3 linked regions of the Macaca mulatta genome follow. The protein of the gene in region 3 interacts with the protein of the main gene of each other region in a pairwise test. Links are inferred from orthologs where the notes say so. Each region holds a gene or a part of one and is shown on either strand. Other genes may lie near its edges. The genes, in order: SEC22A, AGR3 and ERLIN1.

Evidence for each region.
Region 1: the proteins of ERLIN1 (region 3) and SEC22A interact in binary tests that used the Homo sapiens proteins (3 or more experiments, as listed by UniProt). The two-hybrid records come from large-scale screens. The link is inferred for Macaca mulatta from reciprocal best matches to the Homo sapiens genes ERLIN1 and SEC22A.
Region 2: the proteins of ERLIN1 (region 3) and AGR3 interact in binary tests that used the Homo sapiens proteins (3 or more experiments, as listed by UniProt). The two-hybrid records come from large-scale screens. The link is inferred for Macaca mulatta from reciprocal best matches to the Homo sapiens genes ERLIN1 and AGR3.

The regions. Positions count from the first base shown.
Region 1 is NC_133407.1:160,563,986-160,568,300, forward strand, and holds the start of SEC22A (vesicle-trafficking protein SEC22a), read right to left. Parts: upstream 2,801-4,315; 5' UTR 2,672-2,800; intron 76-2,671; 5' UTR 1-75. UniProt on the Homo sapiens protein: May be involved in vesicle transport between the ER and the Golgi complex.
Region 2 is NC_133408.1:111,392,494-111,396,663, reverse strand, and holds the start of AGR3 (anterior gradient protein 3), read right to left. Parts: upstream 2,862-4,170; 5' UTR 2,818-2,861; intron 1,633-2,817; 5' UTR 1,601-1,632; intron 171-1,600; exon of another isoform or gene 168-170; 5' UTR 141-167; coding exon 35-140; intron 1-34. UniProt on the Homo sapiens protein: Required for calcium-mediated regulation of ciliary beat frequency and mucociliary clearance in the airway. Might be involved in the regulation of intracellular calcium in tracheal epithelial cells.
Region 3 is NC_133414.1:112,220,969-112,224,617, reverse strand, and holds part of ERLIN1 (erlin-1), read left to right. Parts: intron 1-373; coding exon 374-499; intron 500-2,152; coding exon 2,153-2,226; intron 2,227-3,649. UniProt on the Homo sapiens protein: Component of the ERLIN1/ERLIN2 complex which mediates the endoplasmic reticulum-associated degradation (ERAD) of inositol 1,4,5-trisphosphate receptors (IP3Rs).

The sequences.
Region 1 (4,315 bases), on a different chromosome or scaffold from region 3:
ACCTGCCTTTGGACAGCAGCAGTTAACTCATAGGGAACCGGAACAGTGGCTATTTTTTCCTCTCCCCATCAGCAACTGTTGGAGGAAAAAGCACAAGTTAGAATCTAGGTAAATCTGGGTAAACTTTTACGTAAAGTCTGAGGAAAATAAATTCCCACAATGCCAAACTACTATGGTAATGAATGGTTAGCAAGTTCTCAGACCCAAGATAACAAGACACCCCTCTTCTTCAGAACCTTGTGTGGGTAATGACTATGGGCTCAATGTCTCAGGAAGGTATCTCTCAAAAGGTAATAAATAAAGCCCAACATATAAGTGGATTTTGTATATACGTTCTAACCAAATGCTTTCACAAATGCCACTTTTAAGATAAAAACATTTTATACTGGGGGCAAAAGCACTCATATTTGTTTTAGTTCGTAATTTCCCAGTCTTCAGTCATCCAAGTACCACTTTCAGAATTATCTTCATCCATCTGTACTATTTACCTAATATTGGTCTTTGAATTGACTTACTTTTCTTGTCCTTTATTTTTTAGTAATAATATCTGTGAAATCAGTTTTGAGATATTAAGTTTTTCTCCTAATTTAAATTAAAAGAACTTGTTTCATTCAAATATGTATGTGTGTGAAAATTTTGGGAGAACTTTAATATTCATTTGCTTATCAAATTATCTTGCATATGTGACAGTACCAATATGGTACATATTATTTTATTACAAGTGCTAGCTGAGATCTGTGGGAATGGGAAAGGGTGGTAGTTAATTTGGACAGAAAGCTATACTACTTGTGATACACAGGGAGGGTGGGGGATAGATTGGGTGATAAAGAGGATGGAATTTCTGTCATTTTGCCTATGCCCTCTACCTCACTAGCAGTGTGTGACATTCCTATTATGGGTGCTTACACTGCACAGTATGTATAAGACCTCAGACTTCACAACAGATTTTACCCACATCTAGGACAGGGCCCCCAATACATGCTCAAATGTGTCAATTCCAACACTTGTATAGTGCCACATAGTTCACAGTTGGGTAGGTAGAACTGCCAATTTACAGATGAGGAAACTGAGGCTTACTTTCTCAACGTCACACTGCTAGTATATAGCAGAACTGGTACTTCAGTCTAAGTTTCTAGTATCTACACACTACTATGCTTCATCAGTCTACCAAAACCAACAAGAGATAAGAAACCAGGGATATAGAAACTCCTATTCACTTGCTGCCTGGGTTCTAATCCTGGCTCCACCATGTAGCAGACATGTAAATTTGGGCAAGCTTTGCCTTTCTACATCTATACATTATGGCTACTAACAGTATCTATCTCATAGGCTTATTTTAAAGATGCCAATAGTATCTATCTCATAGGATCATGTAAAGCGCCTGAAACACTGCCTTGTAACATACTAAAAGCACTATATTAAATATTTGCTATATTATTTATTGATTACTCTCCATGGACCACGCACTTTATACACATTACCTCATTTAAGCCTTCCAAAAACCTGTGAAGTAGGTATTATTAGTTCCATTTTACCTTTGAGGAAATTCAAGCCCAGAAAGCTTAAGGAATTTTTTTAATCCCTAAACTAGTACGTGACAAAGTAGGGATTTAAACTCAGACCCAACTCTAACAACTCTGTGAGACACTCAAGGAAGGTCACAGGCACCCCTGTGATACCTGGGCCTCTTTCATAGACCAACATAAGATATACTTCGATTTTAACCAGTTGCACGCACACACACACAAAAAGGCACTAAACAGATGTGATGGTTTTCAACATAGGAAATACCCGAATGTCCCATTACTTTAGGATACGGTCACAGGTGTCAGAATCAAATACTGAAGGAACCTTAATATGCCAGAAATTGTAGGTACCGTTTAAGGCACCGCCTGATTCCTTCCGATCTTAGCATGTAAGCAAATATCAATAACATGAAAAGTGATTCAGAGTTTGAAAAGTGGCTGTTCCCCTGACTGAAGTTCCCAACATCTCCAGTCTGGTGGCTGACATTTTTGCTCTGGGCTAGGCTTTGCCTTGGCTGAATAGGCCCAGGAGGGACTGGTTCTCAAGCTAGCCCCCTGCCCCAGGTGGATGACCCAGGAAACTAAGCAGCAGGAGAAAAATTATCTTAAGCTGTCTTCACTGGCAGAGAGATTCAGGACAGCTGGGGCTTGTCCTTTTCTTTCGGAAGCCTCCTCCACTTGTTGAGCCAATTGCTCAGGTCTCCCTTCTGCCACATCGTTCCCAAAGTGACTCTTGAGGCAGGGTCTCAAGAGGTTTCCGTGAGCCAACACGGGCAAATATCTGGGTTCAGTGCTCACTCCATCCCCGCAAGACGTAAAGTAAGACACTGGTTCAAGTCCCATTCTGCCTAACAGAAATAGGAAATACCACCTCAAGCTCCCGCGGGCCACCTACACAGGTAGATCACCGTGTTTCTGACAACTGGGCGCCAGGGAATCCCTACCAACCTACTGACAGCCAAGTGCGACTGTCCCTCCCCTTTAGACACTCCTTCCCTGGCTGCCCAATACCCCAGGCGGCTCAGACGAGGCGCAACGGCCGCCCGCGTGGCCCCAGAGAAACCTCAAGTCGAAGTGGACGGGGTCCCTGCTTGCCCGTCCCTCCAGAGCTCCGCGGCCCCGGCTCCCACCCCAAAGGCACGGACTTGGCTCCTGCCCGTCGGGTAGGTCTTCAGTCCCGAGGGCGAAGACCGAGGCTGTCGCGGGAGGCAGGGAGAGGGAGGGGAGAGGCCGGCAGGGGTTCGAACGACCCCTAAGAAGGGAAGAAGAGGACTGGGAGGGGCCGGGTAGTACCTGTCGAGACGGGACCCGCCGCTCCGAGTGACGCACCCCGCAGTGCATTGTGGGGCCTGGGAGGGGCCTTTCGGCGGGGCTGCGCCGCGTCCAACGTGGCTCGCGCCCGCGGAATCAAACCACGCCCCCGTTCCCTCGGCTCGCCCAGGCCAATCGGATTCTGCAGGAAGGACACAACAACCCGCCCGATCCCAGGACCCGCCTTAGTCCCACCCGCTCCAGGAGAGATTGGCAGCGTCTCTCGCACCTGCGCCAGAAAAGTACAGTCCTCTGATGACAGAACTACGTTGACTTTAGAAATAGGGCCAATCCCCTCCGCTCGCCGCCCTGTATCTGCAGGCATTTTGTCTTTCACACGCGGCCCCTACAGCAGACACTTATAAAGGGGACAGGGAGAAAAGCCCCCTGTGGGTGAGCAAGGAGAGGACCTGGCCCCGTCTATACCCACACACAAGAAGGAAACAAACTATGGCAGAGAAGTGCCAGATGCCGACCCCTTGACCCCTTCCAGCTTTCGCATCGGTCATGCGTTATTAAACAGGCATTTACTGGCTGTTTACCATGTGCCAAGCACCGTGTTAAACGCGGGGTTACAGGAGTGGACATAACACTTGATGGAATTTAAGACGTAATTGGAGCAAAAGATATGAAAGCATAAATAGTTACAGAATTATAAATTGTGATCAGTACTGGGAGGGAAAATTAGTGGGTGCAATGATGAATTAATTTTGGACTGTCAGGAAAGAGACTTCTGAATAAGTGCCTTTTAAGCTGCAGGCATATTAAAGAACCTTAGAGAATGTTCCCCGTCAAGGAACTATTATGTGTGAGGTTGTTGGGGCATGAAAGAACTTCTTGTGCTCTAGGAAGTAAAAGGAAGTCAGTGTGGATGGAGTGTAGGGAGCAAGGAGAAACTTCCAAAATACAGCCTGAAATCTGTAATGTGGCCAATAAGAGCCAGCATGGTCTGGCCCTTGTCTCATCTCAGCCCAAGGTCAATGGGCAACTAATAAAGACTATTAAGTAGGATCCTATTTGCATATTTAAGAATCACTCAGGCTGTTTGTGGAGAATAGTTCGGAAGAGGGCAAGAAAGGCTGCTGGAAGGCCATTTGGAGGCAGTTGCATCAGGCAAAGCCAGAAATGATGGCTTGAACTAGTATAATGGGAGTTAGAGACAGAAAGAGGTAGATAATTTCAAGATATGTATAAATTAGAGATGGTATCCAAGGGACTTAATAACAGATTGGTTTGCCGGGAAGGGTCAAGAAAGAGGAATATTAAGGATGACTCCTTAAGTAACTAGATGGATTAAGAAGCCATTTACTGATTCACAGAACACAGGAGGAGGAGCAAATGGCTTGGAATATGTTAAATTTGAAATGTCTATAAATAGAGATGTCAAGTAGATTTGGATATGTAGGTCTAAAGTTCAGAAGAAAGGCCTGAACTAACATAGATTTGGTCCTAGATATATACTCAACATAAATGTATTC
Region 2 (4,170 bases), on a different chromosome or scaffold from region 3:
ACTGAGTTTAGAAAATAAAATGAGATTACAGCACCTCTTGAGAGTGTCTGAGGAGGCCTCTTTTCCTTCTTTATTGCAATGGCAAGGTTGGAAGAAACTGCGACGAGTAAGAGGCAGAGAGCCAAAGCTGAGTGTAGCATCGTGTCTTCTAGAGAATCTCTCAGAAGAAGCTAGATGACAGAAAGGAATTCTCAGAATCTAGTGAGTTGCTTCAAGCTATTATTAAAAGATATTTGCTAAGAGTTGGACCAATACTGTGACGACAGACTGTTCTGCTTTTTTGATTTGACATGGTATAACCAACCACATAGAACTTTCATTCACATTTTATTTTTAAAATACTTAATCAACTCAATACATGCTCAGTTGGTGAGAAGTCACGTTCTGAGCATCCTGGGCATAGTGCTGTATAATTAAAAGACAGCTGGTTCAGGGCACACAAAGCCTGCTTCTGAATCGCCCTGTAGTGTTCACACCACCAAGATGAAACTCAAATAAGATTATGTTTTTTAATGTCTTGTAAACTATAAAGTGACTTTTAGCATGCAGAAATATTCTTTGCCTTTTGATTCTCCTGTATCTAGTAGGTCAAAACATTTTGACTCTATACCAAGATAAGATTATACATGAACAAATATTGCTTAAAATAGAAATCAGAGGAAAAATAGAATATGGAGGATTCTTGTCCTTCAGTTCCTTTATAGTTTCTTACCTTTCTCATCCTTTCAACAATTAATCAGAATTTTGCCCTTCAGTTTATAATACAGCTCTTTATAAAAATAAAATACTGTCATATTACTATACATTAGACATATGTATAGAGAAGCGTAGACGTGCCATGATTACATTCTCTCCTGGTTAGCTAGAATTCAAACCAATTCTTAACTCAATGTGAGTCTTTTATACTTTGCGCATTAAGATAAAAACTAAAGTCCAAAGTTGGACCTGATCTGGATCTGGTCATAAACCACTTGATAAATATATTACAGGAAGTCTGTAATACTTGTGAGATGTTTAGTTACAGCATTAGCATATAAAACTCATTTGAAAATGGTTGGCGCATGCAGTTTTGAAACTTTACCTCAAAATATAAAATAAATATACAGATATCCTTCACATTTATTTAAAGTTCCTTTAAGATGTCTTTCCTATTGACTTACATTATTTAGTATTGAATTTGTCACCAAAATAGTAAAATTTCCTTAGCCAAGCGAGTCTCCTGCCTTGGTCTCCCAAGTAGCTGGGGTTATAGGTGTGTACCACCACACCTGGCTAATTTTTCTATTTTTAATAGAGACGGGGTTTCAGCATGTTGGCCAGGCTGGTCTCAAACTCCTGACCTCAAATAATCCACCTGCTTCAGCCTCCCAAAGTGCTGGGATTACAGGGGTGAGCCACAGCTCCCGGCCTCCTTTCGTCTCCCCTCCTCTCCCCTCCTTTCCCCTCCTCTCCCCTCCTTTCCCCTCCCGTCCTCTTCCGTCCTTTCTTTCCAGGCATATAAAAACCCTGTTAAATAATGATCATGGTGCCTGATAAGGATTTCAGTTTAAGTTTCCATAACTTATTAAGCCATAAAACATTTCAGAATGTCATCTTGTACCTTAAGGCCTCGGTCATCTTGTACTTTAAAGACTGAAACAAAGAAAGGGTGGATTTTAGTAGAGGACAGGGACATTTGACTCTGGAACATGAAACCCAACCCAGCAAAGGCAGCCATAGTTAGACAGGTTGGGAGTTGCAGTGGAGGAACTGAAGTAACCATCTAGGACAGGATCTTAACCTGAATCCAGCAGGCTTCTAGAAGGCCTGTGGATGAGCTACAGAAGGCTCAAAACCCCTGGAAATTGCATGCAAAATTTTATCTGCCTGTTCCTTTTCCATGGGAATAGGGTCCAAAACTTCATTAAAATTCTTCCAGGGATCTTGGATATAAAGAAGAGTTAAGAAAAGTCAATCTGGAGGGCACTTTAGAAAGATTTTTCTATGTTAGGTACAGAGACAAGCAGGTGGAATCTGCATTTTAAAAAAGAAAAAGCATAACTTCATCATTTTTGCTATTTTAAAGCTGCCAAGCTTAGAGTTAGGTGGGAACATTTTTTTCCTTAAAATTTCAAATATTTATGTATTATTGTCAAATACTTTCTAATTAAAAAATAAAAATCTTGGTTTTCTGGTTTTACATTGATAAATTATAAAATAGGTATTAAATATATTCTGTGACAAAGCAGTACAACTTGTACATTATAGATTTTGAATAAATAATGCTTTCCTTGGTAACATACACTGTAAATTGCTGAGGGTCCTTTAGAATCAGTTGCAAGGTTAAGATACTTGGGGGAACACAGATAAATATGGCATGGTTACAGGCCTATAGCAGCTTAAAATGCATTTGGGAGGCATATAACCATATGCCAGAAATTAGGTTGTATAAACATTGGTCAATTAGCATTTTCTGACATTAGTATTTTATTTTTCAAAAGTAATTTAACATAAGTAACTGATATTATAAGCACCTATATTTTAAAATAAAACAAGACTTAAAAGACTATAAAGAAGAGCTATTAATACTTGTAGAATAATTTTTAAAGAGTTGTTTTTGTGGTTGATGTCAATTTATTCTAATACCATTAATATAAATAGAGATAAAACTATGAAACTAGCAAAGGAAATCCAGTTCGGTAAAAGAAGAAAATTAAAAATTCATTTCACTTTCCCAGCCTTTACTGAAAGCTTCACTTTTATATAGCAAAAGGTGATTATTTAAATATTGCAAAGCTTGACCACTGATTAAGTAATCTGGAAACTTTGCTTGCTTACCTGACTTGGCCAGTGCTCTTGTTGGAAATGTACTCTGGATGTTTCTGGTTAAAAATGGGTGTGGATTTATAGACACACACACACACCTGACCTACAACCTCACCTGCATAGAAACAAGAGCATAGTTACCGGAAAACAAACTTTAGAAAGTAGGCTGGTCTGAAAAACTCTGTGCTTCTTTCCAGTTCTCATGCTTCTCACACTAACAAAGCGCTTTTCTTTTTCTCTAAATTCAGATTGAATGTCCTCATAAAATGAGGTTAAATACCATCTTTGTGGTTCTTTCTCTTTTACTTTTTATTTCCCAAGGTAATTTAATGTTTGGCTGAAGTTCAGCACACACACACAAAAAAAAGGAAGAAGGAAACCGGACTGAATTTAAGAACTGTGTGCATGCCATTGTTCTTGATGTGAGTGCTGTGAGGCTTGCAGATTAGAAAGAAAGCAAATAGAAATTCCTAAGGGTTACTCTGTTTACAGGAATATAATTAACAGCTAAAGAGATTGAGTCCTTTTTTTTTTTTGAGAGAGAGAAGGAAATAATTCTGTTTTAAAATTGAACATTTTCATCATTTGATTATTCTTTACAATTTTTCTATAAAACCTTTACTGTGCACAAAATAGAAAACAGCAATTAGATGAGTTTAAATTTATCTAATAGATACTATTTAATTAATTGACAGTAATTATTTAATTACTGTTAGAATAATGTAGGGCAGGATGTCATCAGATTTGTTTTTTTGCACAGCCCAGGAAACAGGAACGATTTTGACATTTTTAAACGGTTGGGGAAAAAAACCAAAATAATCATATTTTGTGATATGTGAAAGTTATATGAAATTCACTTTCAGTGTCCATAAATAGAGAGAGATTTGGCGGATGGCATGCAGCCATGTGCATTTACTTACTAGTGTCTATGGCTACTTTTGCACTGCAACAGCAAAGTCCGGTACAGTCCAGGACAGTGGATACCAAAATCTGTGCACACTAAGTCCCATATCTGGCCCTGCGTAACCCACAGATACGAAAAGTTGGTCCTCCATATGTGCAGGTTTGGCATCCCGTGAACACAGTATTTTTGATCCACTTTGGCTGTGGATGCAGAACTTGCTCATATGAAGGACTGTATTTATTTAAAAAAAAATTCTCCTCTATGTGAACCCACACGATTCAAACCTATGTTGTTTAAGGGTCAGCTGTGCTTGTGACAGGGACTGTATGATCTGCAAAACCGAAAATGTTTACTATCTTTAGTAAATGTTTACAGAAAATGTTTATTGAAGCGTAATCCAGGGTATTGTTTATAAATTCCTTTCCTTTCCCTCCCTCCCTCCCTCCCTCCCTCCTTCCTTC
Region 3 (3,649 bases):
TCTATGCCTCTCAGTTCATCTTCACACTGCTGGCCAAAGTGTAAATCTGACTGTCATGCCCTTGCTTGAAAACTTTGATAGTTCCTTATTACCTCCAAACTAATGTATGCTTTTTAGTATGAACTTTAAAGTTAGCCCCTGTTTGATGGGCTAACCAGCAGGTGTTTGGTATTAGTATTGCAAATACAAGGGTATTTGGAAAATTGAGCACAAGCAACACATCAAGATTTGTTAGTTGTGGTTTTTGGTTTCACTATTTTGTTGGCACTTTTCCTCATGTGTAGTATATCACCCTGACTTTGACCCTGGCTGAATTTGAAGGTACCTGAGTCATTGTTGGGTAAAACAAACATGGGTTGTACCTCTCCTTCAGTGTTTGATATCGTGAAGAACTATACTGCAGATTATGACAAGACTTTAATCTTCAATAAAATCCACCATGAGCTGAACCAGTTCTGCAGTGCCCACACACTTCAGGAAGTTTACATTGAATTGTTTGGTAAGTGTCTTAATTCTTTTAAATATGTAAATAGCCAACTGGAAATCTAGTTCAACTTATTGAGATATTGGTAAACCTTAGTGCTATTTAAGCATTTGTTCTGAATTTATCATAGAGCAATTGTCTTTAAAATATTTTTTATCTTAAGTTTAAAAATTTTTGTATAATTTGGTAGAGATTGGAAAAACTACTCACAGACTATATTCTGTTTTTACTGTAATAACTTACTGAAAATAGCTTTGTTACTATTTTAATAGATAATTTGAAAAATTTAGAAACCTGTGTCTTGAGGCTCCCATTTCTGATGATTTGGTAGGAGACTGACACGACTCAGGATATAGTTGTGGTCACAGCTAAGATTTATTACAGCCAAAGGGTACAAAGCAAAATCAGCGAGAGGAAAAGGCACATCAGCAAAGTGCAGAGGAAAGCAGGTGCAGGCTTCCAAGAGTCAAACATGTGCCTAATTCCCACAGCAACAAGCTATGACAACACATGTCAAATGTTGTCTACTAGGGAAGCTCATTAGAGACTCATTGCCTAGGGTTTTCACTGGGGGCTGGTTATGTAGGCACCCTCTGCCTACCACATAACAAAATTCCAGACTCCTAGAAGGAATGCAGGTGTTTGGCATAAACCACATTGTATAAACAGTTCACAGCAAGTCAGTTGTATTAGCTCTGGGGATGGTGGGACCCTTCCACAAATCCAAGTTCCTAGGTTCCAAACAAGGACCAGTTTGCAAAAGGCCTTCCTAAGGATCGCAGTATCAGCCCTGCTTTCTTAACTCACTTCTGTACAACTTAGCTTTTCATTTATGATAGTGGAAATTCTGACCAGGCAATGAGTTGTTGCTGTTGGTAGCTCACTTTTCCCTCCTGAAATTTTTAGTGAATTTCTAAGATGAAGGAATAAGCAAGAGTAATCAATTTAAAATCTATCAATTGAGTCCTCTTTGGTGATTGTCAACCACTGCAGTGGCATGGGAGAAAACTGATGGGTCCTGCTTTGTCTCACCAGCAATCATTTAAATAGCTGAAGTACCATTGAGGTGAAGAGAAAGTGCATGGCTACAAGCCCAAGTGTTCCTGCTGTGTGTACTTCAAATACTTTTCTATGAGCTTTTCTCTCTGTCTCTCTCTTTCTCTCTCTCTTTAAATCCAAAATAACAGTAAGGCTGAGATCCATGGAAATGAAGTTTAGTTATATGGGAATTCGAGTAAAGATTTACTGAAGGTAGAAATTTGCTTTTCTTTGAGAATCAGGATACATATTGAGTAAGAGCCCTGAATTAAGATACTAGAGATCCAGATTCTCCATTTATTAGATCAACATATTTTACCCAGTAGTTGTTTATCCAGTAAATAAGTCTAGTAAGTTACCCAGTAAATAAGCTTATCCATAGTTAAGTAGCACATTTAGTGGGTGAACTTATTGGATAAACAGACTATCTGCTTGTCATCTTCCTTAATTTATTAAATAATTCCTCACAATTTTTTTCCCCACACAAAAGAGAAGAAAAGGCAGTTTAAGCTCTGTAAAAGAATAGTACTGTGGAAACTTTAGGTCTAATAGTGATTAGTTTTGTTTCGTGAATACAGTGTAAAAAAAATTGAGTATCATGAGATCTGTTGTTCTTGGCTTAAAAAACAGATCAAATAGATGAAAACCTGAAGCAAGCTCTGCAGAAAGACTTAAACCTCATGGCCCCAGGTCTCACCATACAGGTAAGTTCTTTTCCTAGGGAAGTTCTCTGGGGATTTTGAGAGTTTTGAGTTTGTTCCTCCTTTCATTGGATTGTTTATTCAGCAATTATTTGGGATGCTGTGGTGATTTATAGAATACCTTTCTCAATTTGACTTCAGATCTCTGCCAAAATAAAATACTCTCGTAGCTTATTATGGGTGACATTTGTGAACTCCTAGAGGGAACTGATAAGCTGAGGCTCTTACAAGGAAGTCAAATTTATATTTCTGCCATGTATGAAGCACTAAGATACAGTAATGGTTATAAATCAGTGTAAGCATAATCCCTGCCCTCAGTAAGATTATGGAAAGGGAGTTCAAGTGTAAGATTTGAACAATTCTGGACAGAATAGTTATCACAAAGTATTAATTGACAGATAAATCTATTGAATGATTATTGCTGTAAGAGTAAGAGAACATTGGAAGACAGTGTGTCTAGGAGAGGGCTATGATTGAGTTGAGATTTTAAGTAGGTTTGGAAAAATTAATTGGATTTAAATGGGGGAAGAATGAGAAAGGTATTTCAAGTGGGAGGGAGAGCCCTAGTAAAAGCAAGGTAGCAGGTGAATTTAGTGGTAGTGGTGATGGTGACATTGGGAAATAGAATGGTGAGAAGTTTTACCCCTGCTTTTTTTTGAGTCACTGTGTTTTCAGATTGTGGGTTTTAAATCAACTTTAGTGAGTCATGAACAGAATTTTAAATAAAATGAAATAGAATAAGAAAAGAAATGGCATGTAGTAAGTTTAAATATTCTGTGAAACTTGTGTTTCACAGTCTGGGAGGGTAGGTGTTTATATTGGGTGTCAGTGCAAAATGTGTTTCTCACTGTGTCCACAGTCAATAACATTCGAAAGCCACTGCTCTGAATCTAGATAACCTAAGAAGTGGTATTGAGGCTTCTCTAGTGTCCTTTTACAGGGGCTCTAGGAGACCAGTTGATTGTTGATTGTTGTGATGAACATTACTGCAACCAAAGTTTATCACATGTCTCTCAATTCTTTACACTCAGTGCCACTGCTACTGAGAGTGTGCACTCACTGTGATTGTATGTGTTTGTGCTTCCTCATAAACCAGACTCGAAAGATAGGTGGGGTTTTTCTCATGGCCTCATTCATGCAATGTCATTATCTCAGACAGGCGCCTGAAGGTGAGCCACCAGAGTTAAGGGGTAGTTTGAAATACCCAGAGGTAACTTTGGAAAGTCCTCTGAGTTGTTCAAGTCAGTTGTAACTGGAGTAGCTTTTTGATTTTAAAGATAGTGAATGTGAAGTTCAGCTCTTCTTAGATTCTGCCCAGGGTGTTACTCAGAGATCTAGCTTATTCAACAGCTGTTTAGAATTCCTTGCCTTATGTTAGCCATTTTTCTGTTCCCAGTTTTTTGCTATTAAACAATAGTGTAATGAA